Linked DNA regions of Tamandua tetradactyla. The protein of the gene in region 2 interacts with the protein of the main gene of each other region in a pairwise test. Links are inferred from orthologs where the notes say so. Each region holds a gene or a part of one and is shown on either strand. Other genes may lie near its edges.

What was found.
Region 1: the proteins of TMEM79 (region 2) and SEC22A interact in binary tests that used the Homo sapiens proteins (3 or more experiments, as listed by UniProt). The two-hybrid records come from large-scale screens. The link is inferred for Tamandua tetradactyla from reciprocal best matches to the Homo sapiens genes TMEM79 and SEC22A.
Region 3: the proteins of TMEM79 (region 2) and RNF8 interact in binary tests that used the Homo sapiens proteins (3 or more experiments, as listed by UniProt). The two-hybrid records come from large-scale screens. The link is inferred for Tamandua tetradactyla from reciprocal best matches to the Homo sapiens genes TMEM79 and RNF8.
Region 4: the proteins of TMEM79 (region 2) and SLN interact in binary tests that used the Homo sapiens proteins (3 or more experiments, as listed by UniProt). The two-hybrid records come from large-scale screens. The link is inferred for Tamandua tetradactyla from reciprocal best matches to the Homo sapiens genes TMEM79 and SLN.

Annotation. Positions count from the first base shown.
Region 1 is NC_135336.1:22,208,007-22,215,642, forward strand, and holds the start of SEC22A (vesicle-trafficking protein SEC22a), read right to left. Parts: upstream 3,096-7,636; 5' UTR 3,002-3,095; intron 2,993-3,001; exon of another isoform or gene 2,759-2,992; intron 2,753-2,758; exon of another isoform or gene 2,616-2,752; intron 1-2,615. UniProt on the Homo sapiens protein: May be involved in vesicle transport between the ER and the Golgi complex.
Region 2 is NC_135330.1:9,312,171-9,319,877, reverse strand, and holds the start of TMEM79 (transmembrane protein 79), read right to left. Parts: upstream 3,058-7,707; 5' UTR 2,939-3,057; intron 2,159-2,938; 5' UTR 2,116-2,158; coding exon 1,374-2,115; intron 1,101-1,373; coding exon 887-1,100; intron 1-886. Other genes in the region: nonsense-mediated mRNA decay factor SMG5, read left to right, coding at 6,303-6,376.
Region 3 is NC_135331.1:94,290,498-94,297,856, forward strand, and holds the start of RNF8 (E3 ubiquitin-protein ligase RNF8), read left to right. Parts: upstream 1-4,223; 5' UTR 4,224-4,361; coding exon 4,362-4,472; intron 4,473-7,359. UniProt on the Homo sapiens protein: E3 ubiquitin-protein ligase that plays a key role in DNA damage signaling via 2 distinct roles: by mediating the 'Lys-63'-linked ubiquitination of histones H2A and H2AX and promoting the recruitment of DNA repair proteins at double-strand breaks (DSBs) sites, and by catalyzing 'Lys-48'-linked ubiquitination to remove target proteins from DNA damage sites.
Region 4 is NC_135334.1:34,159,709-34,167,215, reverse strand, and holds the start of SLN (sarcolipin), read right to left. Parts: upstream 3,037-7,507; 5' UTR 2,940-3,036; intron 1-2,939. UniProt on the Homo sapiens protein: Reversibly inhibits the activity of ATP2A1/SERCA1 and ATP2A2/SERCA2 in sarcoplasmic reticulum by decreasing the apparent affinity of the ATPase for Ca(2+). Also inhibits the activity of ATP2A3/SERCA3.

The DNA.
Region 1 (7,636 bases), on a different chromosome or scaffold from region 2:
CCTACAGGGCCCAGCCTCTCCAGAATATCAGATAGTTCCATCTCCCTACCCCATATTATTAACAGCTCCTTCTCACATGAAAAAGTTAGAATGGCCATAGCCCAAATACCCCTAAAGAGAAGTATAGAAAGATCAAATGTGATCGTGGAATTATACAGAGAAGGTAAGGTTTAAGAAACTAATATGATTGCTGAATCATTAAACTGATATTCCTTTTAGTTTCCAGTATCTTAGAGCAGCTAGAAGTAAAAATCTAAAATTATGGAATTGTAATCCATACCAAACTGTGAAATATGTTCTACAACTAATTGTTGTGCTGTGCTTTGAAATTTATCGCTTTTTGTATATGTTATTTTTCACAAAAAAGAAAACAAAAAAGTTGATTGTGATGAAAAGAAAAATTTATTCCTTCTAGGCTCCTATATTCTGGAGCAGCTAGAAGGAAAAATCTGAGAAGATCCCATGACAAACTCTGGGATCTGTCCTATAACTACTTGTTGAAGACTACTTTGAAAACTATTGCTTTTTTCTTTCTTTGCTTTGTATATATGTTATATTATACAATAAAAAGTTTAAAAAAATAAAAAGATCCCACCCACAATTGGGTGGGTCACATCTCTATGGAAACAACTAAATAAAAAAGATCCCACCCAAAAAATAGGTTTGCCCCCACAAGGGTGGATTAGGATTAAAAGAACATGGTTTATTTGGGGTACACAACAGTCTCAAAGCAGCACAACTACCTTAGTACATATTACCTTATTAAAAGTGTTAGCTGAGATCTGTGGAAATGGAAAAGGGTTATTTAAAGAGCAAGTTACACTGTCATGCACAAGGTGGGGGAAGCTTCAGTTGAAAAGAGGAAAGGACTTACAGCCAGCCAGAGAGAAGCAGGAAGGGAGATAGAGCATGAAGAGAAGAGGAATGGGTATCAAGGACAACCAAAATTTGTTCTGCAAATTTGCCTATACCTCCTACTTCACCAGAAGCCTTTGAGATTCTTACTACAGATGTTTACATGGCACAGTATGTGTAAGACCCTAGCAGATTATCCCCACATCTAGGAACAGGGCCCCCAACACGTGTTCAAATGTGTCAATCCCAACATTTATGGAGTACCTGATAGTTCACAGTGAGGTAGACATAACATTCATTTTATAGATAATGAAGCTTAAGTGTACTTTCTCAACATCACACTGCTAATATAAGGCAGAACTGGTACTCAAACCTAAGTTTCTCATTTCTTACATCAATATGCTACCCTGGTTTCCCAAAACCAACAAGGGACAAGAATCTATTAACTATACAGTTACTCATTTTGAAATAAAAATCAAATAATGACTTACATTTTCTTTAAGAGGCAGTACAGTATGGTGGTTAAGACTCTGGAGCCAGATTGCATGGGTTCAAATCCTGGCTCCACCATGTACTAGCTGTGTAGTTTTGAGCAAGTTAATGTGTCTTTTTATACCTCAATGTCCTCACTTGTAAATTGTGGTTATTAATAGTAACTATCTCAACAAGTTATTTTAAAGACTAAAGGTAAAGCACCTGAAAGATTGCCTTTCAGACTATAAATGCTATATTAAGTATTTGCTATTCTTATTTTTTATCAATTGCCCTCTATGGGACAGGCACTTAACACACATTACCTCACTTAAGCCTTCCAATAACCTGTGAAGTAGATATTATTAGCTCCATTACACCTTTGGGGAAATTCAAGCCCAGAGAGGTTAAGTGATTTGTTCAATCATTAAACGAGGACGTGACAGAGTAAGAATTTAAACTTAAATCTAACAGTCACCTTATGAGACACTGTCTCGCAACATATCGAAGCTTTCTTACTCAAACACATGGAAAAGGTCAGCCAAACCTTTTGACAGGAGTGCGCTTCTTTCACACACCAACATAAAACATACTTCAGATTTTTTTTTTAATCAGCTATACACCAAAAAAAGCATTAAACTGATATGATGGTTCTCAACATGGGAAAGGTTCAGATGGCCCATTGAATCGGGACTGATCACAGGTGTCAGATTCAAATATTGAGCTATAATCTGCATATACTAGAAACAGAAGGTGCTGTTCAAATAACTTCCTAATTCCTTATAACGTCAGCAAGTAAATAAACATGAGTAACATGGAATGGAATTCACAGATTTTTAGAAAGTGGCTGTTTCATCTGTCAGTAGGGATCGAATAACCTCTCGGTTCTGGTGGTTGGCACTTTAGACCTGGACTGGCTTTAATCTTGATTATAGAGGTATAGGAGGGGCCAGAGCTCACTCTCTCCAACTACTCCAGATGGACGATTCAGGAAACTAAGGAGTAGGTAGAAAGTCCACAGATGTTTTCACTAGCAGAGTTTCAAGCCGAGTTAGCCGCCTCTTTGGGAGCCCTCCTCCACCTGTTGGGACAATAACTCAGGTCTCCCTTACGTCACATCTTTCCCAAAATGCCAATAACTGGGTCTCCCTGGCTCAGTAACTCCTGAGGTTTCCGTGAGCCAACGCTGTTAAATATCTGGGTTCGACGTCCATTCAACCCCCCACAAAAAACTTAAAGTCAATCACTGGTTCAAATCTCACTCTGCCTGGAAAAAATAAGAAATGCACCTCAAGCCCTCTCGGGCCACCTAAAATCCCAGATGGATCTTCATGTTTCTGACAACTGGACGTCGGAGGCACTCCCTCTACACGCTGGCAGCTTAGAGCGACTATCCCAACCCCCTGGACACTCAGTCCGGGCAGCCTCATACCCAGGTAGGTCAGCCGAGGGGCAACCGCCGACCGCGTGGCCCCCAAGACCCTTCAAGCCGGAGGGGACAGTGTCCCCGCTTGCCCGCCCCTCCGAAGCTTCGCGGCTCCAACGACACTCGGCTTCCGCCCCCACGCCTCGGGCTCAGTTCCTGTTCCGGGTAGGTCTGTAATACCCAGGGTGGAAGGCCAGGGTCGGAGCCGCCCTGCGAAACAAGAATAGGGGTGCAGAAGACAAGATGTACCTGTCGAGCCGGGACCCACCGCGCGGAGTGACGCGCCCCGCAGTGCATTGTGGGGCGAGGGCGTGGCCTTCCGCGGGGCGGCACCGCGTCCAACGTGGCTTGCGCCCGGCGGAATCAAGCCCCGCCCCGTAGCCTTGGCGCCTAGGCCAGTCAGATTCTGTGGGAAGGAGACGCTAACCCACCTACTAGTGGCCGGAGTTAATTTGGCTCATTCCAGGAGAGTTCGGTCGTTTCTCTTGCACCTGAACCAGGAGATGGCACAATAGTCTTGTGACAGAACTATGCTGACCTTCAGAAATGTGGATAATCTCCCTCGACTGCCGCCCTGTATTTGCAGGCAGTTTGTCCCTCACACGGGACCCTACAGCAAACACTGGTCCTGTCCACTCTGGATGAGTAAGTAAAGAGCTCCTACCCATCTACCACTACACAAAAGAAGGAACCTTACTGAGGCAGAGAAGTGCAACATTCTACCCTACAGCCCCTTTCAGCCTCGGCATCGGACCTTCAAGTATTTATTTATCCAAATATCGACCATGTGCCAAGCACTATGTTAGGTATTGGATTACAGGAGTAAACACAGCACACAATGAAATTTGGGTACAGTGATGTATTTTGGATTACCAGGGAAGAGCTCACCGAAGAAGTGCCTTTTTTAGCTCCACGCATATGAAACAGCCTTAAGGAATGTCCCAGCCAAAGGGGATATTATGCCTCAGGTAACTTGGGCATGAAAGAACTTGATGTATTATAGGAACACAAAGGAAGCAAATGTGGCCCAGTGTAACAAGCAAGGAGAGGCTAAGAAAATTAAGGCACGGTCCAGATCATGAAGGGTCTGGCCACATTTTAGATTTCAGACTGTATTTTGCGATATGTCCTAAGGTCACAGTGAGTGTTAAGTATGAACTGATTTACATATCTAAAAGCTTACTTGGGCTGTTTGTGGGGAATAGATTCGAAGAGGGCAAGAGGAGATGATGGGAGGCCAGTTTGGAGGCAGATGCATAAGTCAAGGCCAGAGATGATAGTGGCCTGAATTTGGGAAAAGGTGGTAGAGTCAGAGAGAGGTGGTGTTTTGTTTTGCTAATGCTGCGGAAATGCAATATGCCAGAAATGGATTGACTTTTACAAAGCGGATTTATTAAGTTATAAATTTACAGTTCTACAGTTTGGCCATGGAAATGTCCAAATTAAGTTATCAAGAGGATACCTTCACCCAAGAAAGGCCCATCACAATCACACCTGGAGTTTCTCTGTCACGTGGGAAGGCACATGGCAAGGTCTGCTATGCTTCTCTCCCTGCTTCTGATTTCAAATATCTTTCTCACTTTCTGTGAGTCTCTCTGACTTTTACTGGGTGCTTTCTTTCTACCTCTCCGAACGACTGTGTTTTGGTTTCATCTCTCTGCAATCTGTGTCTGCTCCAAGCTTTCTCTCTGTGAGCTCTTTAGGACTCCGGTAAGCTAATTAAGATCCACCTTGAGTGAGTGGGGTCACATCGCCATGGAAATAATCTAATCAAATAGTCCCACCCTCAATTGGGTGGGTCACATCTCCATGGAAACAACCTAATCAGAAGATCCCACCCACAATAAGTCTGCACCCACAGATTGGATTAAAAGAGCATGGCTTTAACTTGGCAGGTGAACTCACTGCCCTTACCCCTATATGGGACATGACTCCCAGGGGTATACATCTCCCTGGCAATGTGGGACCTGACATCATCGGAATGAAAAAAATCTTCTTGACCAAAAGTGGGAAGATAGAAGTGAGACAAAATAAAGTCTCAGTGGTTGAGAGATTTCAAACAGAAGTCAGGAGGTTATTCTTATGCATTGTATAGGTATCCCTTTAAAAAGAGTGTATTGGAGTGGATAACAGTAAGTCCCTGAAACTATAGAGCTGTGTTCCAGTAGCCTTGATTCTTGATTTTTGAGGAAGGCTGTATAACTATATAGCTTTTTGTGTGATTGTAAAATCCTGTGTCTGATGATCCGTTTATCCAGAGTATGAACAGATGAGTAAAATAGTGATGATAAGTAGAAAAAAAAAATAATAGAGGGAGATAAAGGGGGGAATTGGGTAGATTGAAAGACTGTGGGTCAGTGAGCGGGAGGGGTAAGAGGTATGGGATGTATGAGTTGTTTTTGTTTCTTTTTATTTCTTTTTTCTGGAGTGATGCAAATATTCAAGAAGTGATCATGGTGAAGAATACACAGCTATGTAATAATAAAAATTAATTAATCAATTTTTTTTGAAAAAAAAGAGCATGGCTTTTCTGGGGTACGTAACAGTTTCAAACCAGCACAGATGGATAACTTCAAGATATGTATAAACAGGAGGTGGAATCTAAGGGACCTAATAAAGGATTGGTTTGCAGGGAAGGGTGAAGAAAAGCGTATTAAGGATAACTCTTGAATTTCTACTTAAGTAACTCAATGAATCTAGAAGCCGTTTAACTGATTCAGGGAAATAGGATGAGGAGCAAATGGTTTCAGATGTGTTAAATTTTAGATACTAATGAATGGGAATGGCAAACAGATTTGGATATGTAGGTCCTGAGTTCAGAGGAAAGGTCTGGATTAATTATATAAATGAGGTGGTTGCTGGAGTATAGACAATATTTAAAGCCATAGATGGGCATCTAAGGAGAGAGTGTAGAGGACCTAGGAAATAGCTCTAGTAGAGAGAGCGAAGGAAGATGGCAAACTTAACTTAACACATGGTTCAGTGTCCTCCTCCATAACCAAAGGACTAAAGACAAATAATACTGGCAGAGGTGGAACCTACCTTGCTGGTGCTCTCAGTCCATAGTTGGTGAACACGGGGAGTTAGGTGGGGGGTGGGGGGAGCCCAGGAGCAACTACCAGGATGATTTAATGAGATACCCCATTAGAAGGACTCAGTTGGATCAGTCTCTCTCCCTCCACCATTTGTGCACAAGCAGGGACACCGAGAAGTGTCTGTCCCCAGGGAAGAAAAGTGAATGAACTGACTGGGGCCGAAAAGCAGGGAAGCATTCCAGGTTAGTCTAAGTAAAGGTTGATTTTTTTTTTTTAGCAAAAGTAGTAATAAACTGGAACTAAACTCTCAAGAAGATCTTCAAATGGAAGATGGCAGGGAAGAAAGTAAAGTGAAAACATGCTAAGTTCTCATCTTGTATTGGGAAGAATAAAGATAGATTAAATCTAGAATGTGTTTGAGGCATTTAATTTTAATTTAGGCATATTGAAATTTTAAGAGCATTGTGTTAACACCTTGGAAAACTGCTGGGCAATATCTACTTAAACTGAACATATGCTTACCCTTTGGCCCAGCATTCCACTCCTAGGTATAAACTCAGGAGAAATGTATTCATATGTTCACCAAAAGACATATATATAAGAATGTTCACAGGAGCACTGTTTATAATAGCCCCAAACTAAAAACAATCCAAATGTCCGTTGACCATAAACTGAATAAATTTTGCAATATTCATATATTGGAATACTATATATATATATCAAAGAGAGTGAAATTATGGAACTGTAACCCAGGCCAAACTTTAAAATCTGTTCTATAACTACTTATTAAAGTATACTTGGAAATTTTTTGCTTTTTTGTATATATGTTATATTTCACAATAAAAAAACTATTTTAAAAAAAGAATGAACAATCTACAACTGTATGCAAAACATGAATGAATCTCGTAATCATAATGTTGAGCCAAAGAAGCCAGCACAAAAGGTTGCATACTATATGATTCCACTTAAATAATTTTCAAAAACAGGCAGAACTAATATATGGTGATAGAAATTGGGATATGGCTACTATGGTGGTTTAAATCTGTATAAACCCCAGAAAAATATGTGCTTAAATTTAATCTATTCCTATGGGTGTGAACCCATTGTAATTAGTACCTTTTGATGAGGCTTCTTCAGTTAAGATGTGTTTCAGTTTGCTGATGCTGCCGGAAAGCAATATGCTTGAAATGGATTTTACAAAAGGGATTTATTAGGTTACAGATTTACAGTTCTAAAACCATGGAAATGTCCAAATTAAGGCATCAACAAGAGGATACCTGCACTCAAGAAAAGCTGATCATGTCTGGGGTTTCTCTGTCACATGGGAAGACACATGGTGATGTCTGCTGGCCCTTCTCTCCTGGATTGGTTTCCAAAATGGCTCTCTTAGCTCCGTGGTCCTTCTGTATCTCCAAATGTCTGTATCTGTGTTTTCTCCAAAATGTTTCCCTCTATTAGAGGACTCCAATAAGCAGATTAAGATCTACCTTGAATAGGTGGGGTCGCATCTCCATCTAATCAAAAGATCCTACCCCCAATGGGTGGGTCACATCCCCATGGAAACAACTTAATCAAAAGGCTCATCCAACAATAGGTCTCCACCCCCCCCCCCACCCTAGACTAGACTAGAAGAACATAGCTTTTCTGGGGTACATAACAGTTTCAAACCAGCACAATTTAATTTAAATTCAGAGAGACTAAAGCAACTGAAAATTTCAGGACAGAGCACCAGAAAGGAGGGAGATTCACAGAGAAAAATATCCAGAAATATGCATAATGGTCCCCTTGAATCTTTTGCTTAGGTACAGGGCTAGACCTGTACCTAGTCTGGTTAAAGAACAATTTCTGA
Region 2 (7,707 bases):
GGGGGTGCAAGGGTAGTTCAGTGGTAGAATTCTAGCCTGCCATGCAGGAGACCCGGGTTCGATTCCTGGTCCATGCCCTTCCCAAAAAACAAACAAGCAAAACAAAAAAACAAGCAAAGCAAACAAAAATTCCACAAATGGTGTTGCAGTAATGGGATACTCACATGGAAAAATAATGAAATGTGACCCCACCATACGGCATACAAAGAAAAACAAAAACAAAAAAACAAAACCCTCAGGACATCAGGGACTACAAACTCAGAATGACAGGAGAGTAATATGACTGGCCCCATTGACAAACCAGAGAATTTTCTGCGTAGTGGGAAGGACCCAGGACAGTGAAGGGACCAGGGACATTTAGCAAAATAAAGAAAATGGGGGAGCAGGGTGTTGGGATAGAGAGAAATGAGAGGCATTTCAATATCAAATGTCTGAGTTTGTTCCAGAGATCAAAGTCAAGGTAGCAGTTTTCAGCACAATATAAAGAAAACCTTTCTAACCTTTAAAAAATAAAACAAACTGAGCACCTCGTCACAGGGGCCGCACAACTAGCAGCCAAGGGCCACCTGGCCAGAGTGCCCCAGAGGAAGAGTGGCTGCAACGAGTGGGAGTTTGACCGCGATGGCACCTGAAGGCCCTTTTGCTTTCAAGGCTGGCGTGTGTGTCTCTGAAATCAGTTTCCTGGGGGAAGGCCTATGGGCTGATCATCTACAACCAAGTGAGGTCAGGGGCAAGGGGGGAAGCACTCACCTCTCCAGGTTGCACATTTGAGCTGCTGCAGAATCCCAAAAGCCGCCCGCTGTCCCTGGCCCTCTAGCCTGTCGGATGCCTGCGGCCCCTCTGGCACCATCGCCTCCCCCAGGCCCCGCCCCTAGCCCCAACTCACCGGGAGATGGCAAAGAGACCAGTGAGCAGTGGCAGCAGCTTCAGGGCATCCTGGGGCAGGTATGTGGAGAGCACGGCCAGGTTGAAGAAGTAGAGGATGAAGAGCTGGACTGACTGGGCCACATAGTGCCGATGAATCTCCACCTCCCGCCGAGGCTCCCCGAAGGGCCGCAGGGCAGAAAAGCACAGCAGGCTCAGCCCATACACCAGGAGCCCTGGGGTGGGGGTGGGGGTGGGGGGCACATGGGGTCAGGACAGGCAGGAGGCTAGGGGGCAGGGCCCAGGGCAGAGGGGGGCAGGCCTCGCAGAAGGACAGGGCCTAGGCTGTGCCCAGTGGGGCTGGGGGTCCTGGGAGGGGATGGGCACACAGGGGGTGGGGAGCAGGGGGACAGGGGGCGCCAAGGGGCCTGGGCTCCCACTCCCCACGGCCGGCAGGCCCTGCCCTCCCCGGGTCTGGCGCCCTTTCTCCTTGCGGGGCCCGGACTCACCCAGCACGATGGGGAAGGTGGCAAAGACCCCACAGCGCAGCGTGTAGACCAGGCGGGAGCTCACGGTGGGCAGCCGCGGGGCGTCGAAGGGCAGGAAGGCGAAGGCCCCGTACAGGAGGCAGGGGAAGAGGACGAGGGCGGCCCCCACCGAGGCCACGGCGCGCAGCCCCTCGCGGCCCCCGCAGCGCCTGCAGGCCCCGCAGGAGGGGCCGGGCGACCTCACTGCTGCCTCGGCCCACTTGCACTTGGGGGGCTCCGGGTGGATGACCCGGGCGGGCCGGAAGGCTCTGCGCTGGGCCTCGGCCGTCTCCCGGCACACAGCGCGCTCCTCGGGGGGCCGCCGCTCGATGCACTGGAGGTCGATGGGCACAAAGGCCCGCGCAGCCTTCGTGGGCAGCAGGTTGTCATCGTCTCCGGGGAGTTCCTCGGGCTTGGTGGGGGGCTCCAACTCGAGGGGCTCTGGCCCCATGTCCCGCCAGCCGGGGGGATCGGGGAATGGGGCACTGGGCTGGGGGCCAGTCCCCCAGGGCAGGGTGGCAGCCTCGCTCACCGTGCTTCCCAGACCAGCCTCAGTCTCCTCCGCAGCCGTGGGACACCCCGCTGGAGAGCCTGCTCTGGGGCACTCGGCTTCACCTTCCTCTTCTGGCTGCCGGCCATTGGGAACCAGGGCCTGGGGTGGGCTCTTCTCCAGGACCTCAGGTCCCTTCACTTCCAGCAGGGTCAGGGTCTCGGGCTCTGTCATCCTGGGGCCTCAGGTCTGGGGTGTATCGTGAGCTTGTGTCACCCTGCAGGGAGCAGAGGGAAGCTCTGTCAGAGGCCCCCGGCCCTTCCGAGCAGTTGGCAGAAACTGGAACTCTCCAGAGAGGCCAATCTCATGGGCATTGGTCTCTTTTGGGACCTTAGGGAGAACATGGTGTGGAGGGAGATGTTGAAACAGAGGGAGGAGGGAGGGAAGAAGTGAGCAGCTGAAATGGAGGCACCTTTCGACATCAGGTGCCATCCAGCAGGAGAGGGTGAGTCAGGGGGCACAGGCCCTGGCAGCTGCGGCCTCAGCCGGCCCGCCCATGCCTTCTACCCCTCCACCAAAACCCCTGGGGTCATGGCCACCCTCATCCAGGAACGAGAGGAAGAGGAGGTGTCTAGAATATTGCCGAGCGTTTCCTTCCCGCTAAAGATCTTCCTGTGGTCAGAGAAACGGCCCCTCCAACTTCCCACCTCCCCACCTCCCTGCTTAGGTAGGACTCTCCTGGAGGTGGTACCTGTGATTTGCCAACACATGTGTCCCAAGGGGCTGGCAGTCCCCAGGTGGCCTGCCCCCTCACCCCCAATCTGGGTACTTGGTCAGTTGCTGAATTCCCCATTAGCCCACCTCCGCAGAGTCCTGGTCTGTCCATTCTCAACTTCTAGGCTTAATCATGGCTGTTTCCCATGCCTCCTCTCCTGCCTTCCTCCCCTGCCTGCTGCCCTCCATCTCTCTGCTCCTGTGGATGAGACTGAGTCCTCTCCTTCCATGTCCTGGAGTGCCTGCCTACCCTCAACCATTCAGACCCATGAGACCCTCTTACTTTCCATTTGGAGAAGGCAGCGGGTCCCTGGCGTCCCGGCCCTCCAGGAAGGAGCTGCCGAACTCCCTGCTGGTTCTGCAAGTATTTCTCTCGGACTCCCTCCCTCTACCTGTGTCTCCAAACCTGTCCGACCAGAGCAGGTGGAGCCCAGATTAAAGGCGCAGGCCCCGCCCTGCTGTATCTGCCGACAGAAAAAGCCTTTCTGGAAGTGGGGCTGCTGGAAGTAGGAGGCAAGTGGAGGATGTGTAGGAGCTGCCAGCCCAGGAAGACAGAGCAGGGAGAGTGGGTCTGTACACCTAAAGGTGCTTGGAGTAGGTTGGGATATCCAGAAAAAAAGTGGAATTCGTACATTCATTCATTCAATCAATATTTATCGAGCACATATTATTAGCTAGGTATTGGCACAGATGAGAAAAGCTAACAGGCAAGGCCCCTACTCTTGAGGAACTTACTTATGTTCTATTGGAGTGGCAGAAAGTGAAGAAGCTTAGTAACTAAATAAGACAAATTCAGTAAGGGAAACGTTTTTAACAAGGTGGCATTTAAGCTGAGACCTGATGAGAAATCAGGAGTATGTGCATTCCGAGCAGAGGAACAGAAGTGAAAGGCAACTGGTGGGAAGGATTTAGATTTGAGCTGTTTCAAGAACAAAAAGAAGGTCAGGTGAATTGTGGCAGGAGCATCAGGTGGAAGGGGGAATTTATGTTCCCATTATAACAGGTATACGGGTCCAGGTGATTGCTGGAAAATATGCTTACCCCAGCTGAGGTTAGCAATATACTCTTTGTACTTAGTTCCAGAAGGACATTAACCAGACCTTCTTCGTTCTTCTTACAGGGATAAAATAACAGAATAGCATCACTGAGCCCTCAATCTTGGAGTTTGTTCCTATGAAACTTATCCCCGCAAAGGATAGGCTAAGCCTACTTAAAATTAGGCCTAAGAGTCACCCCCAAGAGAACCTCTTCTGTTGCTCAGATGTGGCCTCTCTCTCTCTCAGCCATCATGACAAGCAAACTCACCGCTTTCCCCTCTACATGCGGGACACGACTCCTAGGTGTGTAAACATCCCTGGTAACGTGGGATAGAAATCCTAGGGTGAGCTGGGACTCAGCATCATGGGATTGAGAAAATCTTCTTGACGGAAAGGGGGAAGAGAGAAATGAGATAAAATAAAGTGTCAGTGTCGAGAGGTTATCCTGCAGGTTATTCTTATGCATTGTATAGATATCCCCTTTTCAGTTTAAGATATATTAGAGAGGCTAGAGGGAAGTGCCTGAAAATGTAGAGCTGTGTTCCAGTAGCCATGTTTCTTGAAGATGATTGTATAATGATATAGCTTTCATAATGTGACTGTGTGATTGTGAAAACCTTGTGTCTGATGCTCCTTTTATCTACGGTATGGACAGATGAATAAAATGTATGGATTAAAAATAACTAAACAGGGGAAACAAATACTAAAGTTAAAAAATATATATATTGGGTAGATGGAAAAACTAGTGGTGAATGAGAGGGAGGGGTAAGGGGTATGGTATACATGAGTCTTTTCTTTCTTTTGGAGTGATGCAAATGTTCTAAAAAATTATCATGGTGATGAATATACAACTATGTGATGACACTGTGAGCCACTGATTGTATACCACGTATGGAATATTTGTATGTTACAAATGTATGTGCTTGTATGTTGTTTTATCAATAAAACTTGGAAAAAAAAAAAAAGAACACCCAGTAGCTCAGTGAATCAGTGACAAAAAGTTTGACATATCTGAAGGTCAGCTAAGAAAAGTGATGAGCATAAGAGCTTCTACGTCAATAACTAAATCTTATCACCAAAGCTGAAACAACAAAATGTGCTTGAGACAACACAGGGTTGAGAAATTTGCTGGTGCCTTCCTCATGAAGATCCAGTGTCATTGCTGACCTGACAGGAATTAATCAAGTGGCCATTACCTAGTTTTTGACCCCTTATAATCCTTCCTTTACCTATTAAAACGCTTAACTCACACCCCCACTTTGAACTGGTTTGGGGACGATTCCTCCAGTTCCTTGCAAAGTGTACTTGCAATAAATCACCTTCACACCGAGAGGTTTGTTTCTCCTTTATAGCACCGGGTCAGGTGGACCCTTTTATGGAAAGAGCTGTGCTTGTGGTATCACAGAAACACCTTGCTGTTTAGGTCTGGTTTAAGGTTAAAAAAGTAATAAGAGGGGGTACAATGGTAGTTTAGTGGTAGAATTCTTGCTGGCCATGCGTGAGACCCAGGTTTGATTCCTGGATCATGCACTATCCCCAAAAACAAACAACCAAACAACAAGCAAAACAAACAAAAATTCCAACAAAAATGGTGCTGCAACAACCGGATACTCACATGGCAATATAATGAAATATTATCCGGCCATACAGCATACAAAAAAATAAAAAGCAATAGGAATCCTAGTTAGATACCAAGTGATCTTTCCAATGTGAGGACCAGAGGCCAGAACGTTAGAGAGCAGACTAGAGAATGACTGTTCATCTTCATGGGACATTATCCCTAAAATCACTGGAACTCTTTGAGAGCAGGGACAGTGTTCAGCTTGCTCATCTCAGCGTCCCCACAACCCAGCACAACCCAGCACAGTGCCTGGATGACAGCAGGTGTTCAATAAATGTTTTCCGGACTGGTGCTAGATACATGTGCAAGCTAGAAAGCTTTGAGAGCGGGAGGTGATGGATTGAGACACTTGTACAAAAGTCATGTTTTCTCGGGTCTTGCTCCTAAGTAGTACTCGATTCTTTCCGAGGAAATGTTCACGTGCGCTTTTTTTTTTTTTTTAAATTATGGGGAAAATGGAGAATTGGAATCGTTCTAACCAGCACTCTGAACAAGGCTCGGCTCATATTGGGGGGGGGGGGGGGGTAAGGATGGGAAGGACGGGCAGAAAGATGAGCCAAACCAAATGAACACAGTAGGACAAGACAAAGCAAGGCTCCTAGGCTGCCTGCCTGCCCAAACTCAGCTGAGCTTCAGCCCTCTCACTGAGTCCACTGTCCGCTGTCTAGCAGCTTTGTCAATAAAGTTTTTCTCAAGGGCTTGGAGTAGCCGGAAAGAGGCCATGATGCCCAGAGTTAGTTCTGGCAACTTCCCGGGAGGGAAAATGAGTTTCGCGAGATTTGGCAGCAGCCGGCCACTGGTCTGCACCTGTGCAGCTGTATCGCGAGATTTGGCAGGCGGAGGAGGAGCTGTCGCGGGCAGCCGCCTCACAGCGATGGCGGCCGAGCAGGGCCGGCAGCGGTGGCGGCTGCGGCCGGAGACGGCAGCGGTGGCGGTAGCGGCGGGTGGTGGGGGCCTGTGACCGGGAGCTGCCCCCGGGCCCGGGCACCATGAGCCAAGGCCCCCCCACAGGGGAGAGCAGCGAGCCCGAAGCAAAGGTCCTCCATACTAAGCGGCTTTACCGGTGAGAGGGGCCGGGGTGTGAGTGCAGCCACCTAGGGAAGAGGGGGACAGCGGGGGCGGGGCCTCCCAGGCGGGCGGGGCCCGGGTGCCGGGCTGGGGAGGGTGCGGGCGAGGGAGGACCGTGCAGTTTTGGAGGGAGCAGGTGAGGCGCGGGACCCGGTAACCCGGAAAGGAGCTGAAAAGGAATTGGGTGGGTGGGAGAGCTGGAGGAAAGCACGTGGAGGAATACTTTCCGCAGGCAGCTTGGGTCGGGCGCCGAGCTTTGCGGAGTTGGGATAAGAGTCTGCGAATTGGGGGCTGGAGAGGTTGGGGAGGTGAGAGTGGAGTCACAGATGGCGAAAAATCCGGAAGAACCCGGTGGGGATTCTTTGTGAATGGATGAACAGGGGAGAGTCCTGAACTAGAGAGAGCCAGGTTTAGGTCCTTGCTTTGACACTCTTTCGTTGTGTGACCTTGGGCCTCAGTTTCCTCGTTCTTAAAAGGAGAGATCTGCATTGGATAAGCTCTGAAGTCTTTCCTGGTTCTAATTTTTGGGAGTTTGCGTAGAGAGACACCGGAAGGCTAGTTGTGTTGAACTGGAACGTCTAAAAGGACTTTGGGTCCAGGATGTTCTTAGGAAGTTGGAGCCCATGTCAGGACACCTGGGAACGGGAATCTTGCCTCTTCCCAGCTTCATGATACATTTTTTTGCCAGGCAGCCTCCATTCCTGGTTTCTGATTTTCACCCTGCCACCCACACTCCTCAAGTCCCATCTTCAGCCCTTGAGTCCTCTGTTGGGAACAGGCCAGTATAAACTCTTCCCACCCTGGATCAAGGATTTTTTGGGTGGAACAGCTGGAACATAGGCCCCAGAACTGGATCAGAAAAGAATGAAACACAAGATCTGGTTGAGTTTTCTGTCTTCTTTTAGGGAGTGGGGGTTGGAGTTTTCATTTAGGTCAGGTTCTGTAGAACAGAAGACTACATTAGGGCCTTGGGCCCTATCTTGTCATGTTGTTTTTTTCCTCTTTGAATAGGCATCTTGCCTGCCCTAACTTTGTTAACCAGAAGGCATGGGGGAGCCTAGGCTGCTCTAAATATAGCAAAATGATCCAATCCAGCTGCCCCTGGGCTCCCACTGTGGGCTGCCCCAAGCAATCCCTGGCGGGTAAGGAGTTGTCGGGGAGTGGCAGGTGTACCTTGTTATGTTGCTGCATGTCAGTGCTGCCTCAGACAGAGTGTGGGCAGTGTCTGCAATATTCCTTAGTTGTCACCAGCTATTGGGGATGGCTCTGGTCATCCTGATCATTCTCAAATCTAGTTCTTTCTCAAGCCACTGCCTTCACAGTACT
Region 3 (7,359 bases), on a different chromosome or scaffold from region 2:
CAACTGAGGGTTATTCTACATAATACTTGGCCAGGCTGGAGTTATAACAATCGTTAGGAAATTAGGTTCTGGAAACAGACCTGAGTGTTACCTGCCATTTCATTTGTTACTTTGGGAATTTCTCTATGCCTCTTTCCTCATCATCCCTAAAGTGGGGATTATAATAGTAACTGTTGCTTTCTGTAGAAACAGAGCTGGAAGGATATTAAGGAATGATGAGAAAAAAAGAAAGGAAGAAAGAAAGAAAGACACAGATGGGCTCAGGGGGTCTGAAGCTTGAGTTTACTTCAGACAGACTTCAGACCCCCTGAGCCCGTCTGTGTCTTTCTTTCTTTCTTCCTTTCTTTTTTTCTCATCATTCCTTAATATCCTTCGAGCTCTGTTTCTACAGAAAGCAACATTTGGCGCCCAACGTGGGGCTCGAAGAAGACTCCAAATCAATATTAAGGAACCAAGGAAAAGTCTCATAGAGGCACGTGTGTCCAGCCGATAGAAGAGGACTCGAGTCATATTGGTAAAGTAAGCATTTTCCTTGGATCATCAGGGTAACGGGTAATCATAATAGGCGGCTGGAGGAGTATGTGTGTGTGTTAAAGCTACTGGGGTGCCTGTTAAAACATCTGAATTAGTAAGCTTATTTGATCTCATTCAAAAACATTGTTGTTGGTTTCAGCCTTAAGGCCATAATGTTTTAAATCTTAAGTAATGGAAATTCGTTATGAAGGCTTTGCAGTGAATATAAGACGGGGAAAATATTCCTGTTTCTATTTGGTTATTGTGTTCAGTCAGGCAATGAACTACCTGGCTCATGCTTTGTCTTAAACTCTAAGTTGTGTTTCTTCTCAATCTCCCACTACCACTTCTTACCCTGTTTCGACAGTTGCTTGAGCCGGACTCGGCAACTGGTGCCCAAACAGGGATCTAATAAGGGAACTCTTAAAGCATAAAGTGAGGAGATGCTCCAGGGACATCCACTACAAATACTACAGGCGGGCCTTTTTGGGTTGAGCAGTGGCCCTTATCTGTAGAGAGGTTTGAGGCTCTGACTCGGTTGATTTGGGAACAGTTTGGAGCAGGACGTTTACAGGAGTCTCGTGGTTCTTGGAATTCTCCAATATTTATTGCAGGAGGGAGGTCAGGAAAATGGAGAATGTTGACTGATTTGATAAAAGTTGATACTGTGATTCAGCCTATGGAGTCATTGCAGCCTGGCTTGCCCACACCAGTTGTAATTTCTAAGAACTGATTTATTATGATAGATTTTAAAAATTGCTTCTTTGCTGTGCCTTTGGCAGAGCAGGATAAAGAAAGATTGGTTTCTGGGCTTGTTCTTGATGGGCTGCCTTTATATAGGGATTCATGTACACCTGAGTCAGAAAGTATTCAGTGAGAAAGGTGCCATACCAAATGGGGGTCAGTGCTCATTGATGGTTCCTGTGGCAGGTTGGTCCCCAACGGGGTGTGCAGTTCGGGATTGTAGTTCTGACTCAAGGTATTCTGTTAGGTTACCTTTGTTTAGTCTGAATGATTATTCTATGAGATTTATACCAATACTACAGGTAAAGTCCTATGACTCAGAATGGGAACGGCAACCCCATCTCCTTTTGTTAACTTAAATCCTCAATAAACAGCAATTTGGAAACTGGCCATGAGTTTAGCTCCTATTCATGTTTGAAAAGAGAAATATATTTTAAGAACTTTAAAACTAAAAATTCTTGTTAAAAACTATATATTGATAGTTAATGCATATTTGAAACATTAAAGTATTTTAAATATTTAACATTATTCTAACAAATTTAATTTTGATGGTAATTACATATGTGGTAAAATATTTGTTCAAAGTAATGATTTAAGTATGAAAAATATGAAAGATGTATTTTTATTAATAGGAAAACAGAATAGTTTTATCCTAAAATGAATAACTGTTACTAAGCGAGAAAAATATAGGACAAAGCCTAAACTAATATAATAAGTGCTGAGGGTTTATAAAAATAGAAATTATGGTTAAAATCAAGAAAGATTTAATGAGTCTAAAATGACAATGTTTTCTTGGACTTTTAGCCTGTTCTAATGAAAGGATATAAAAAAAATTCTAAATAATTAGTTAGAAAGCAAAGAGTCTGTGTTTTATCAAAATAACTTGTGTTAACTTTTATCATGTTATTATCTGTATAAAAAATACTGATTTTCTCCTGGGTATCATCATACTGGCAAAAACTGCTTCTTGCTCTAAACCAGATGGCTTAATCTATTAATCTAAGTACTATTACTATAAATGAATCTATTACTGACTAAATAATATTCAAATCATTTAAATACCTAAATTCCTTTAAGCCAAAATACTTTAATGCTTTGTCCAGTGTTTATATAAACTATATATGTATAAACTAAATTTATCCCAAGATAACCATGGCTTATATTGGAAGCAGATCAGATTTGAGGGTTGAATGCAAGGAAAAAATATACTTGTGGAGTCTTTTTTGTTCACCTGATGTTGCCATTACATGCAACTGATATTGCTGGGAAGACCTTGGTAAGAAATAGTTAAAATGTACACTTTAGCTGGGAGGACTGCCTATCCCCCCAGAAGGCGGTGTACTTTAATAAAGATATCTAGGTCCCAGGAAGCTCCTCTTGGTCCCTAGCCAGTTCCCAGAGGACCCAACTGGGCCCAGTCATGTAAGCAAATCAGAATTTGGCCACTATTGTGAGAAAATATCATAAAAACTGCATGAAATAAATTTAAAATTAGCAAAAATGCACAACCAATTATAAAGAATCCACATTCTTGCATTCCTTTTTAATCAATCCAATGAATTCAATTTTAAAAATCTGGTCATTTACTATGGGTACACGTCACTATTGACACTCTGCTTTCATTTTTGCTATCTGCCACTTTAGGGATTCCTAATTATATGTTACAAAACTTGTTTGATATTTTACAAGGAGATTCTGATTTATTAAGCAAAAGGCAGTTAACAGCTGCAGCTGAATGAGAGTTACAATTAATTGAACAACGCATTCAAAAAGGACAGCTTGTTCAAATAGATCTAAAAAATCCTGTTGATTTTATTATTTTCTTTACCTTGCAATCTCCCACAGGCCTATTTTAGCCAGACGGTGTTTTAAAATGGATTTTTTTACCAAACAATTGACAAAAATGTTTAAATACATATTTGCAAAAGATTATTTCTTTAATAGTCAAAGGTCACCAAAGATATTATCAATTAAGAGGTCATGATCCCTAATTGCATAGTGTGTGATCTCACAAAGGAAGCAACAAGTAACCACCGTGATCACATTGTTTGTGAGGAGCAAATAAAGCACTTGGCCTAGTGCCCAGCACCCAGCTCTCAATAAATGTTAGCTGTTTACTGGTATGCTTTATAGATTTAATTTAGTATACATATTTTCTCCTGATATAATTTAATATAAGAAAATTGTTAAGCAGGTATTGGAAAACTGAAAAGATAACAGCGGACATTGTATCATCCCAGAGGAAGTTACTATCTACCCGGAGTAGCTACCATACTATGTTGGAGATTTAAACAAACAAACAAAAAAAACAAACACATTTTATTGAGAATAATTTACATACCATAGAATTCACACACAGGAAGTGTAGTTGTTTGACTTTTTTTTTGGTGAAACGGTTGTGCAATCACCACCACAATTCAGTTGTAGAACCTTTACATCATCGCCCAAATTCCTCAAGTCCACTTGCACTCAATCCTCCGCTTCCACTGGGCTCCAGGGAAGGACTCATCTGTTTTCCGCCTCTATAGATTTGCCTAGTATAATTTATCAAATTGGGTAATACAAGGTGGTCGTGAGAAATAGATACTATTGAGAGACAGACTTAGATTTAAAAATTACCACGAAGTTGTTCAAAAGTGGGTTACAGTTTTAAATAGTATGGATCTAAGTACAAGTTATAAGAATAGGGGTCGTAAGTACAAGTTTCGAGAGAAGGTGGGGGAGGTAAGTGAGGAGAAGCTCCAGTCTGGGGCGGCTGGGACTGGGGTTGGGGTTCTGGAGAGTGCGGGAAGCGGGGAGGGTCAGTTGATTGCCTCGGGCTGCCCGGCCCTAACCAGAGGTTGGACGTTAGCACGCTAGCGTTAGCACACCTCCACAGCCGCCTGGCCGTTTGCGCAGGCGCACTGCCCCTGGCTTGCTCTCCGGAGGCGGGGCTGGGCAAGTAGCCCGAACTTGTGATCACATCGATCGCGAGCGCGAGGCGATTGCTTCTGTCTGTTGATTAGGTATGGCACTCGCGAGGAAGCCGAGAGGCGGTAGGAGCTGGGACCTGGACCTCGCTGTGTGTTGACCGCGGCCGGGGTCTGACCTAGGCCGTCTGGGCTATGGGGGATCCCATCTCCTTAGACACGGGAGACCGCTCCAGTGGTTTGAGCTGGTGCTTGCAGCGGGTGGGGATGGACGCCGAGTGGCTGCTGCTGGAGGCTGGAAGCGAGGTGAGGGGGGGAGGGTTCCAGTTGGTGCGAGGGACGGGGGTTGGTGGAAGTAGAGGAAAAGGGGAGGGGAGGGAAGGCGTAGGGGCCCGTGGGACCGAAGGAGAAAAATGATTCTGGTGCGAGCGGTTGTGGGGTCTGAGTTGGAGTGTGTGTTGGGGGAAGTAGACATCGAGTGAGAAAATTGAAATACGGTTCATGGGAGAATAGAGGGCCATAAGGGGCCGGGGACAGAGGCGCTGGACACAGGGACTAGGAGCTAGAAGATGGCCCCTTTGAAAGAGGCCTGGACCTGAGAGACGAGCTTGCGCAGGAGTCGGGGTTGTAGGAAGTATTAGAGTGGAGGGAGCAGAGCGAGGAGTGCGCATAGACGATGTGAGAAGAAACTGGAGTTTCCAGGAGGAGAAAGGGGACTGGGACGGCCAGTTGGGGAGCGAGGGAAGTATGAGGCAGAGCTGCCCCAACTTCCACCTTGAGTTGTCAACCCCCTTAAGTTTAAGGCGGAGTCAGGAAGGGCTACCCAGAGCGTGAACTCCCGAGTTTATTTTGAAAACGATTGCGAGTTTTAGTTTATGTCCCCTAAAATACTCAAACCTTAATGTGAAAGTATCTTCCTCTTTTCCAACTCGGAGGATAATTGGCACTTTGGGATAGGCCACGTTTATCCTGTGAGTCTTGTACCGCCGCCGAGTGGCACCTCCTGAAGTGGGCAGAAGGTGGGGATTCAGAAACGTAGGAGTTCTCCTCTCTAGAGGTTGCTTATGATGTTTGCTAATGCGTGCATAAGTGGAAAAAAAAAAAAGAAATTTGAGGTGAGGTTCCAGTTTGGGGCGCTGTGCTTGGTTTGAAAGTATGTATCCCAGAAAAGCCATGTTTTAATCTTGATTCAGTCTTGAAGGGGCAGCCGTTTCTTTTAATCCTGATTCAATACTGTAGGTTGGAAACTGAGTGTGACCTTTGATTAGATGGAGATGTGACTCCCTCCATTCCGGGTGGGTCGTGATTTGTTTACTGGAATCCTTTAAATGAGGAAACGTTTTGGAGAGAGTCAAAAGCCTCAGGGTGGACTTGAACTTCAGAGCAGAGCTGACACAGATGCCAACACTTGGAGAACAGAGACACGGATGTTTGGGGATGTTTGGAGATGCTTGGAACTCAGCAGACATCGCCATGCGATGTTAAGCAAGCCAGAACCTGTAGAAAGCCAAGGGAAGCCAAGAGATAAAAGCCAGCCCCTGAGAAGCAAAGTGAGGAACTCTTACAAGAACAGAAGCTGAAAGCAATGGAGCCCAGGAGCAAGGGACCAGCAGATGACAGCCTCGTGACTTCTGAGCTGACAGAGGTGTTCCAGACCCATCAGCCTTCCTTGAATTAAGGTGTCTGTCTCTGGGTGCCTTAGTTTGGACATTTTGTCAGTATTAGAACTGTAAACTTGTTAACTTATTAAATTCCTCTTTTCAAAAGCTGTTCCATTTCTAGTATATTGCATTCCAGCAGCTTGCAAACTAATACAGGTGTCTAGGAGTGGGATGATGGTTCTAGAAAGGAGGAGTAAGAGTTGTGATCATGTTGGGAAGGAGAGGTGAATCAGGAATCCACCTGTGGTGATTGAAGTTTGGTTTGGAAATAATTTGAGAGGTTCACTTTGCAGTAAAACTAGGTGGTTGATCATTATTTGGGATTAATTTCCAAGTTTTATTCTTTGTATATTTAATTAGACTTTTCCTATAAGCAGTATAGTCTTCCCCAAAGTGTATTCATTTTGGGAATTAACAAATTAAAACATTAACACCTGGATAATGCTAACTTTACTTCTTTTGTATAGGGTTGGGGTTTTCACAAGTGTCACTTAATCTGAGTCCCTGTATATGCGCTATACTCTCACATGCAACCATATTAGATACTTAATACTCGAGTGTTAACACATTCTTTCAGATTCAGTTGCTATGGATTAATTTATTACTTCTCCTGGACAGCGTGTGATAGCACTGGGAGTCTTGGAGGGTAGCATAAGGAGAAAGAATTCAAGCACCTGCAGCAAGGGCAAGAGGACTGTCAAGCACTCTTGGACATTTAAGCTATTGGGTAATTTTGTGTGGCTGCTTCTATGGGGAAAGATGCATACAAACCTGAGTGAATGGTGAAGATGACTGCGGCTTGCCTAGAGGGCCTGGGCAAAGGAGAAGACCTGCTTGGCGTGATTATCCTCAAGATGTGCTCTTTTTTTTTAGATATTAAAAAAGAAATTTAATATCTTCAGTAAGTGAAATGGAAGGAACCCTGTTTTACCACTTTATCTGTGAAATGTAGGGCCTTGAGGGGAACTGGGAAGGTAGGAAACTGACTTTACTCTGCTGTTACAATCAAATGATGCCAGCACACCTCCTAAAATAAATTGGCTTATTGAGGGTAAGATGATGCAAAAAATATAAAAATTAAAAGCTTATCTGGCATTTAATTGACTTTTCTTCCACAGTGTGTCAAATGGGAGTTGGATTTTATTTGTACATTTTCTAAGGACCCGATCTGTTTTGAAATCCTTATGCAGAGGGAAACTGTTGGGAAGATTCCTTAAGCAGCTCTTGGGATAATTCTTATGAGGGTGGGGGAAATTAATTTCTTAATTCTGCCTACTTCTTTCCCTTCTGCTTTATGTATTCTACAAAAATAGTCATTACACGTGTTGGTGAGCCCAGCAATTAGCAAAAAGAAGCCCTGGAAGCCAACTTTGTCATCAATACTGGTCTAGATCCTTCATTATTTTGTCCTCAGCCAGAGGGTCTTTTTGATCTCCAAAAATCCAGGAATTCCTTTTCCATGAGAGCTCTTCATTTTAAAAGTAGTCTTTATCCCTGGGAAATTTGTGAAACATAAACATCATAGTTTCCAA
Region 4 (7,507 bases), on a different chromosome or scaffold from region 2:
ATGTGTTTTATTACATAATTTAAAAAGTGAAAAAATATGTATATATATATATTATAGGTTAGTAGCCTTCGTGTTTTAAACTACAGATAGCAGTAGGGTATCAATCTTTCAGGGTTTTAGGCTGCTATAGGTCTTCAACTAACTCTGGTGAAAGTTGCTTCAACAGCTGCTTGGCCTCTTACAAGTTCTGCTTTGGGCACAGAGCCTATTGGGGTCAACTCAAAGTCCCTCACATAGCAGGTGCTGAGTCCAGAAAGCAGAAGTGTTTACCTCATGTGTATTTGTATTTCAATAAGGGCTTGTGTCAGCTATTTTTAGTCAAGTCCAGGATGTGCCTAGATTATGAACACTTCAAAGAGCAGGGATGGTATCTTCATAGTGTGCGCAGAGAGTATACACAGGAAGTCATACTTTTAGGACATATGCAGGCAGTCAATCAAATTATTACCTGATGTAGTACAACTGACATTGTAAATTCATGCAAAATAAATGAAATAAAATATGAAATATAATATTTTAGATATTAAGGACAAAAAAAATGTGGAGTGAAAAAGTTTAGTGGAAAAGGGAATTTGCTAAGGGTGGGAGTTCATGCAGGTAGAAGAATTGTTAAAATTTTGACCTGAATGGTATTGTTTAGCCATCTAGCAAGACTGAAATTGCATTTACTGTGTTTTTAATTGACCAAGTTATTAAATCTTTAGGCATCAGCTGAATAATCATTTTTCAATTATGTTATTGTTGGTATAACACACAGGTTCAAATCAGTGGTGCCAACCAGTACATTGCTGATCTTGGTTTAAAATGAGGCCAATGATGACTGATTTAAGTTTCATTTTCCTTTTAATTCTTAGCCATCTTTTGGCCCTATGCATGAAGAAAATTAGTCGATTGCCAATGAAAATTTTCACAAAGATTCACTTTGAGGAGAGAGTTAACAGAAGAAAGTGAATGAATAAAGGAAGAGAGAATATATAAGAATGTACCAAAGGGCAGAAGATAACAGGAAGATGATGACCTCAGGCCAGGAGGCTTGAGACACAGAAACAGAATCAAAGTCAGAATCCTCCTCATGAATTCATTAATAAAATCAAATGCTGGTTCAAACTCCTACTTATTTGGATAAATTAAGGATTACGAAGATATGCAGAAAATATGAGAGTGTGATTACAATGATCAAAGCAACCCAGTTGAAAAAGGGTTTCAATAACTGTCCTTCCAAATCTGCTTATTAGAATCAGCTTTTAAAGAGTCTTGTGAAGTGGTCCCAAAGAAATAGACTCGGAACGTGAGGAAATGCTAAGGAAAACTGTTCCACACCTCTGCTGATGCGACCTTCACAGTAACTCTACAACCTTCAACAACTCGGGCAAGTACTATTATGATTTTTATTTTTTTCCACTCTCTGAGAAACGACTCTTAGAAAGAGGTTAAGTTGCTTGTGTTATGATGCATAACAAATTAGAGGCAGAGCTAGAACTGGCAGACTGGAACTAATGTTGGGATTATAGTTCTGCATAGGAGTGATTACAAGAATGCGTTAATACTGCAATTAATTGGACTGGCTAAAACAACATTAATGTAAATTTTCAACCACTTTGGGAAACAATTTGGCATTTTTATTAAACTTAAAAATGCTTGTTTCCTATTTATCTAGCAATTTCGCTTCTACCCTAGCAACTCAAGATCATGTGTACCAGAATAGATCTGTACAAGAATGCTCACAGCAGCATTTTACAATAGCCCCAACTGGAAACAACTCAAATGTCCATCAGCAGTAGAATAAATGATGAATTTTGGTAAACTCATGCATCGGAATACAATAGAGCAAAGAAAGTATATGAACTACAGCTACACACAGGATTTCACAAGCATAAGTGATGGGCAAAAGTAGAATTTAAAAGAAACATAAAATATGATTCCATTATACAAAGTCAAAAACAGGGAATTTAATCATATTGGTTAGGGATGCAGACATAGATGGTAAAAGTGTAAAGAAAAGCAAGGAAAGATAATCTCAGCAATTAAAATAGTGATTCCCTAGGGTGGCAGAAGTGGGAGATCAGGGATGGATTCTGGGGTGCCAGCAGTAATCTCTTTCTTAACCCAGGTGGGCATTGCCTTGTAGTTGTTGATTAAACTGCACATGTTTGATGTACTTTTCACATTTATTTTTTAGATGGTCCCTGAGTTAATAGGCTACCTACCAAACTTATTTTTTTCCTGAGGCTTACCTCTTACTATTTAGTAAATTTGAAATATTTGTTGTTCTACATCTTTTTGGATGAATAAAACATTCATTTTACGTATGTTTGTAGCATATGTAGCACTTTCTAGTGAATCCAATTAATTATCCAATTAAATTCAACACATAATGCTAATTGTAAGGGGTGGACTTTACTTTTACACACATTTACACCCAGAATGAACCAAGTTAGACAGAAATCCATCTCAGCAAATTTCCATTTTTCTGCTGCTAATCCCCAAAGACAGTTTTGTCCCCATTTTAAACCTTCTCTGAAGTTTCTGTCAAGTTCACAGCATATCATCCCAAATGACTGCCAAGTGGATGAAATAAAAACCAAAATATCTCTGAATAAATTGAGCAGGAAGTTTGACATTGACGTTCTTTGAATGGAGACTTTGAGAAGATGAAATACAGCCCTTTTTCTATGTTATGAAAATCAAATTTTCATAAAAAAAGAAACAGGAAGGGAGAAAATGTGTACCATGAGGAGAAAAAAAAAGGAGAATAAGAATCAATAATATTCACTTTACATCTTGAGAATTGTATACAATAGGCATTGCCTATTGCTTTTAAGAAATATAAACATCCCTCTGCCTTTCTCCTTTGCAATTTGTACACAAACACACATGCACACAATGTATGCTAAACATAAAAATCCTGCTATTACCCCCAAAAAGGGTCAAGGACGCACCGTGGCTGCGGTGGGTTTCTCCTCTTTCTTCTCTTCAAACGCCGGCTCTCCTCCAGAGCTGTGTGACTTCTGGGCTCTGGGCAGGACCTAAAGTAGTCCAAGCAGGTGGCAACCAGTGTGATGTCACCGATGAACCATCTCAAAGGAACAACCTCTGAAGGTTCAAGGCTATTTGCGTTTAGGGGAGCAGAGAAATATGTTGACTAACACTTTGTTCCTTTGGCTGCTAATTTGTATTAACATCACAAGGACTTAAAAGCCTGCTGTTTCCGAAGGTGACTGGTGCATTTAATTTGTTTCCAACTTGTCTTTTACATATTCATGAATATCTCTAACATGGCTTTAAAACATCATAAACCCCGAGACAGTGATAGACTATTAACAAATTGATGCTGCATTTGGCTGCTCCCCTTACTCAGGGTATAAAAAATGGACTTCATTTCACTCCTCAAATCTTTACCTGCTTGAAATATAAAGCATTCTCTGTCTTCCTTACCCATGCCTGCATGTGTGTGCGAGCACACACACACATACACACCAGAATTCAAAAGGCAGCTCAAGCTCCTTCAAAACTGACTTTTTTTAGTCCAAGTAGTGAAAATGTTCCTCTCAGTCATCAGCTTTACAGGACTTTCCAGTTAAGCCTGTACATTGCAAATTTACACATTAAGATAGTTTCATCTGAGAGAGCTGATGAAGTTTTGCGTGAGAAGAAGGTTTGCATATTCAATCAGTAAACTAATTCAGCACTAAACTCATACAGCAAAACCTAGTCTTTGGATAGATTAGGGGTAGAAGGAGAACCGGTCAAAATTAATGAAAAACATGAACTATAGAATATATTTGAAGGAAATAGAATTTTATTAATTTCAAATACAAACACTGACTAGTTAAGACAAGTTTTAATCAGCATACTAGATGTTTGAAGGTAAATGGAATTTCTAAGTGTTTAATTGGACTTGAAAGCAGATCAATTAAGTACCTTAAACTTGACCCCTGCAACTGTGTTTGCTCAACAAATCCTTTCTCTATAAGAAATAGGATAACTTTCCCTTTGGAATTCCCAATTAGGGGCAACTGAAATAATATATTCCCAGAAGGCAAAAACAAATAAAATTAAATATTTGTGTTCATAGTCAAACCTTTTTCACATACCCCAAAGGTATCACTAAAAGAAAGACTTCCCATTCCATTTCTTCATTTCACCATCAACCCATAATCTTAATACAGCATTCTGTCACCACCTGCCTTGTAAAAAGAGCTTGCTGAAGTGACAGGTAGTGTATAATAATTATAGCACAATTGAACATTGGCAGTTATTTGTTTCCATCTGGCAAACTCCTTGAATGTAGTCAGATTTCGATCTTTTGCCTCCAAGTGCTTGCCAGATGGTTTAAATGCTAAGAATGTTTTCCTGGTTACCAAGCAATATCCATCCCCCCCCCCCCCCTTTTTAAAACCACTTAAAATTTTTTTCCCAAATAAAATTATTTATTTATTGCAAAAAATGAAAATATGCCAAAGTATATAAGAAAAAATAATTACCTTTAATCTTCCTAAGAGAAAATAAACTTCATATTACTTTTTATTCAGATGGTTGAGAATTGTGTACCATATGCGTGCCTAATGCATTAAGAAATACAACATTCCTCTGCCTTTCTCCTTAGCAATTTGTACACACACATACTCATACACACATACACAATGTACGCTAAACATGAAATCCTACTGCTACCCAAAAAAAGGGACACTTTGTGGCCATACATAGCCACAATATGAAATTCCAAAGATATTTTGGTAAAGAAATTCTGATACTTGAAAAAATCTTTCCCTTTTTTGATCCCTACATAGTCAAATCCTTCATACTATGCCACATATTGGTGTTGGATTTATGGGACACGCATTTATTTTGTACATATCAGAATGCAAAATTAATGCTACAATATTTTAAATATTAAATACAACAGGAAGATATTCACATATCACTAAAACAGATGGTCAATTTAGTTGAACTGGTCGATTTGAACATGAGTTGGAAAAAATCACACTGCGTATTTGACTGAATTGCCAAGGCAGCTCTGTCTCTCTATCTGGCTGTCCCTTTTGAGCATATCTAACAGTGTACCAGGAGCAATTGTGCCCAGTAGTTGACAAGTTCCCATGAGGCTTGGTGGCCAGATGGTGCCTTTGGAAACTTCTTCATATTAGCTGTTTCTCCTGGGATGCCACTAGAGAGTGCGATTAGACTTGGAAATTAGCTTGATATTAGTTTGGACTAATCCTCTCCAGAAAAAACTGCCAGTCACCCAAATTCACAACTACTCAAATGCTTCAAGCAGAGTTTAACCTTGATTATCAGCAGGTCCATAAAGGGAGAAAAAAAAAATCAAGATTTTTGTCTCTCAGTGAGAAGCTGGGAATGACAAGATTTCAAACCTTGGAACCAAGAAAATTCATCCCTTACGATTAACCTTACTTAACTCTAATGACATTTACCTTCCTGTGAGGAATTCCATGACAGCATTCATTCCAAATCAACTTTCTTTCAAGTGCTGTTCGGCTTATCAGAAGAAGGATATAGTTAATAATTTTTGACATTATTTCTATGCCTATTAATCTAGAATTTAGCTAAGGACCAAAAATGTCAAGAAAATAACATTCACATTGACACTAACATAGATGATCTAATTGGCATTTAGCTCAGCTTATACATCCTCAAGTGTAAAATGACCTTTGGGAATCAATGCTGAGCTTTTATGCCTGGTTAGGAGCTAAACTAGCTTGTTTAATTTATCCCTCTCTTCCATCCATTCTTGGGAACAGAAATGTGGAGACTTTATATCAGTCCATGAATTCTACAAGTCCATGACACAATGGGAGACTTCTGCAAGGCCTTGACGAGAGGTGCTAAGCACTTAGCACATCACACTAATGAACACGATCAGCATGGTGCCCTTTTCACCCTCATGTCTTCACATCCAGCTGCTGAGAAAGAAGCAAGCAGCGCACGGTGATTCCTCTCACTGTGCCAAATGCACAAGCCCAGAGAAAGAAGAAGCCCTACTTCTTCAAGTTCCTTCCTTGTCACTGCTGCCACAACGATCGTGTAAGTCCTGCCCTCTTGCAACAGGGAAAGCCCAGGAAAAGGTCAGAAAGAAGCCTGAATGGCCACTGTGTGGTGGGGTCCACACAGAACTGTCAATTCAGACATTTGAGTCCAAGCCAATTCGGGAGAAATTGCCTTCATCGGAGACTATGTGGTAAACTGGAGTCACAAAAAACCTGTGTTCACATTTTGGATTTTCCACTTACTAAGTGACATTGAGGAAAGTATTTATCCTTTCTGGGTTTCAGGTTCCTCGTCTGTAAAATGGGAATACTAACAACTCTTTTGAAGCTTTGAAATCAGGATTCAGTTGATAGTATATGTAAACATGCCAAGCACAAAGCCTGCCGGTGCGGATGTCCAGTTTGCTAGTTCTTTGGTTTTTTCTTTCATTCATAATAATTTTTTTAATATGTCAAGGGGACTCCTTTCTCTTGGGCAAGGGCTAAACTTCTCTTTTTATTTATGACTGAAGGAGCATGGACTGAGTTTCAATTAGTATAAAAGTCCTCTGAGATGAGCATTAAGTGTGGGGGTAAGTGTGGGGTGAAAATGTGTATGGAATTGAAGCAAGGTTGGCAAGACTTTCTCTTGCCACCCTTTTTCCCCTCTGATGCAGGCTCGCTATTGTCCCTAATGAGCAGGAGAGGTGTCCTGCAGCAGGGCAGAGTCAAGTCACCATGCCTATTACTCATGCAATTGTTCAGTTGGTTTTGAGTGAGTTACATACAAACCATCGTTCTAGGCAAATGGGAGACCATAAGGATCCAGGAGAGGATCAGTGTCCTCAAGAGAAGAAAGTTAAGAAAAGAACACAAACAATGAGGGCACAAGGCAGTGTGAGAGAAGTGGCATCAGAATTACACCAAGAAAGACTATAGGACTTCCAAGCTAGCATAGAGCTCTTTCTTCCTAAGATAATAAAAACATGAAACAGCTGCCTACAAAGAATAGAGAAAGGTACTGAAGATGTAGTAGATCATGGACAACAAACCAGAAGACTTGAGTCTGGCCAACTCTCTTCAAGAATGAGAAAAAAGTTACTTAAGGCTAAAATAATAATAATCACAACAAAATCAGATAGCATTTACTAAACATGCACCACCTTAATTCATCCACATAACAACACCATGAAGTGGATATGAACATTCCCATTTCACAGAGGAGACAACTCTGACCCAGAAAGTTGCATCTTGACAAAGTTCGGGGAGTTAGTAGGCAGCAGAACTGAGATTTAAACCAAAGTCCTTGGACCCAGCCCTGTGTTCCTAAGCACTATGCATAGTGCTTTCAGTGAAATGATTAAAGTACCCTCTAGCCCAGGAGCTTCCAATCTTATGCACTTTTAGTAAAAATTTTATCATGTAAATCCCAGAGTGATTTGGACAGTGACTAAAGTACTTGCTAAGTCCCCTTGCAGGAATGGGAAAAAAGGAGGAAATATTCAACTTTCCCATTTGGA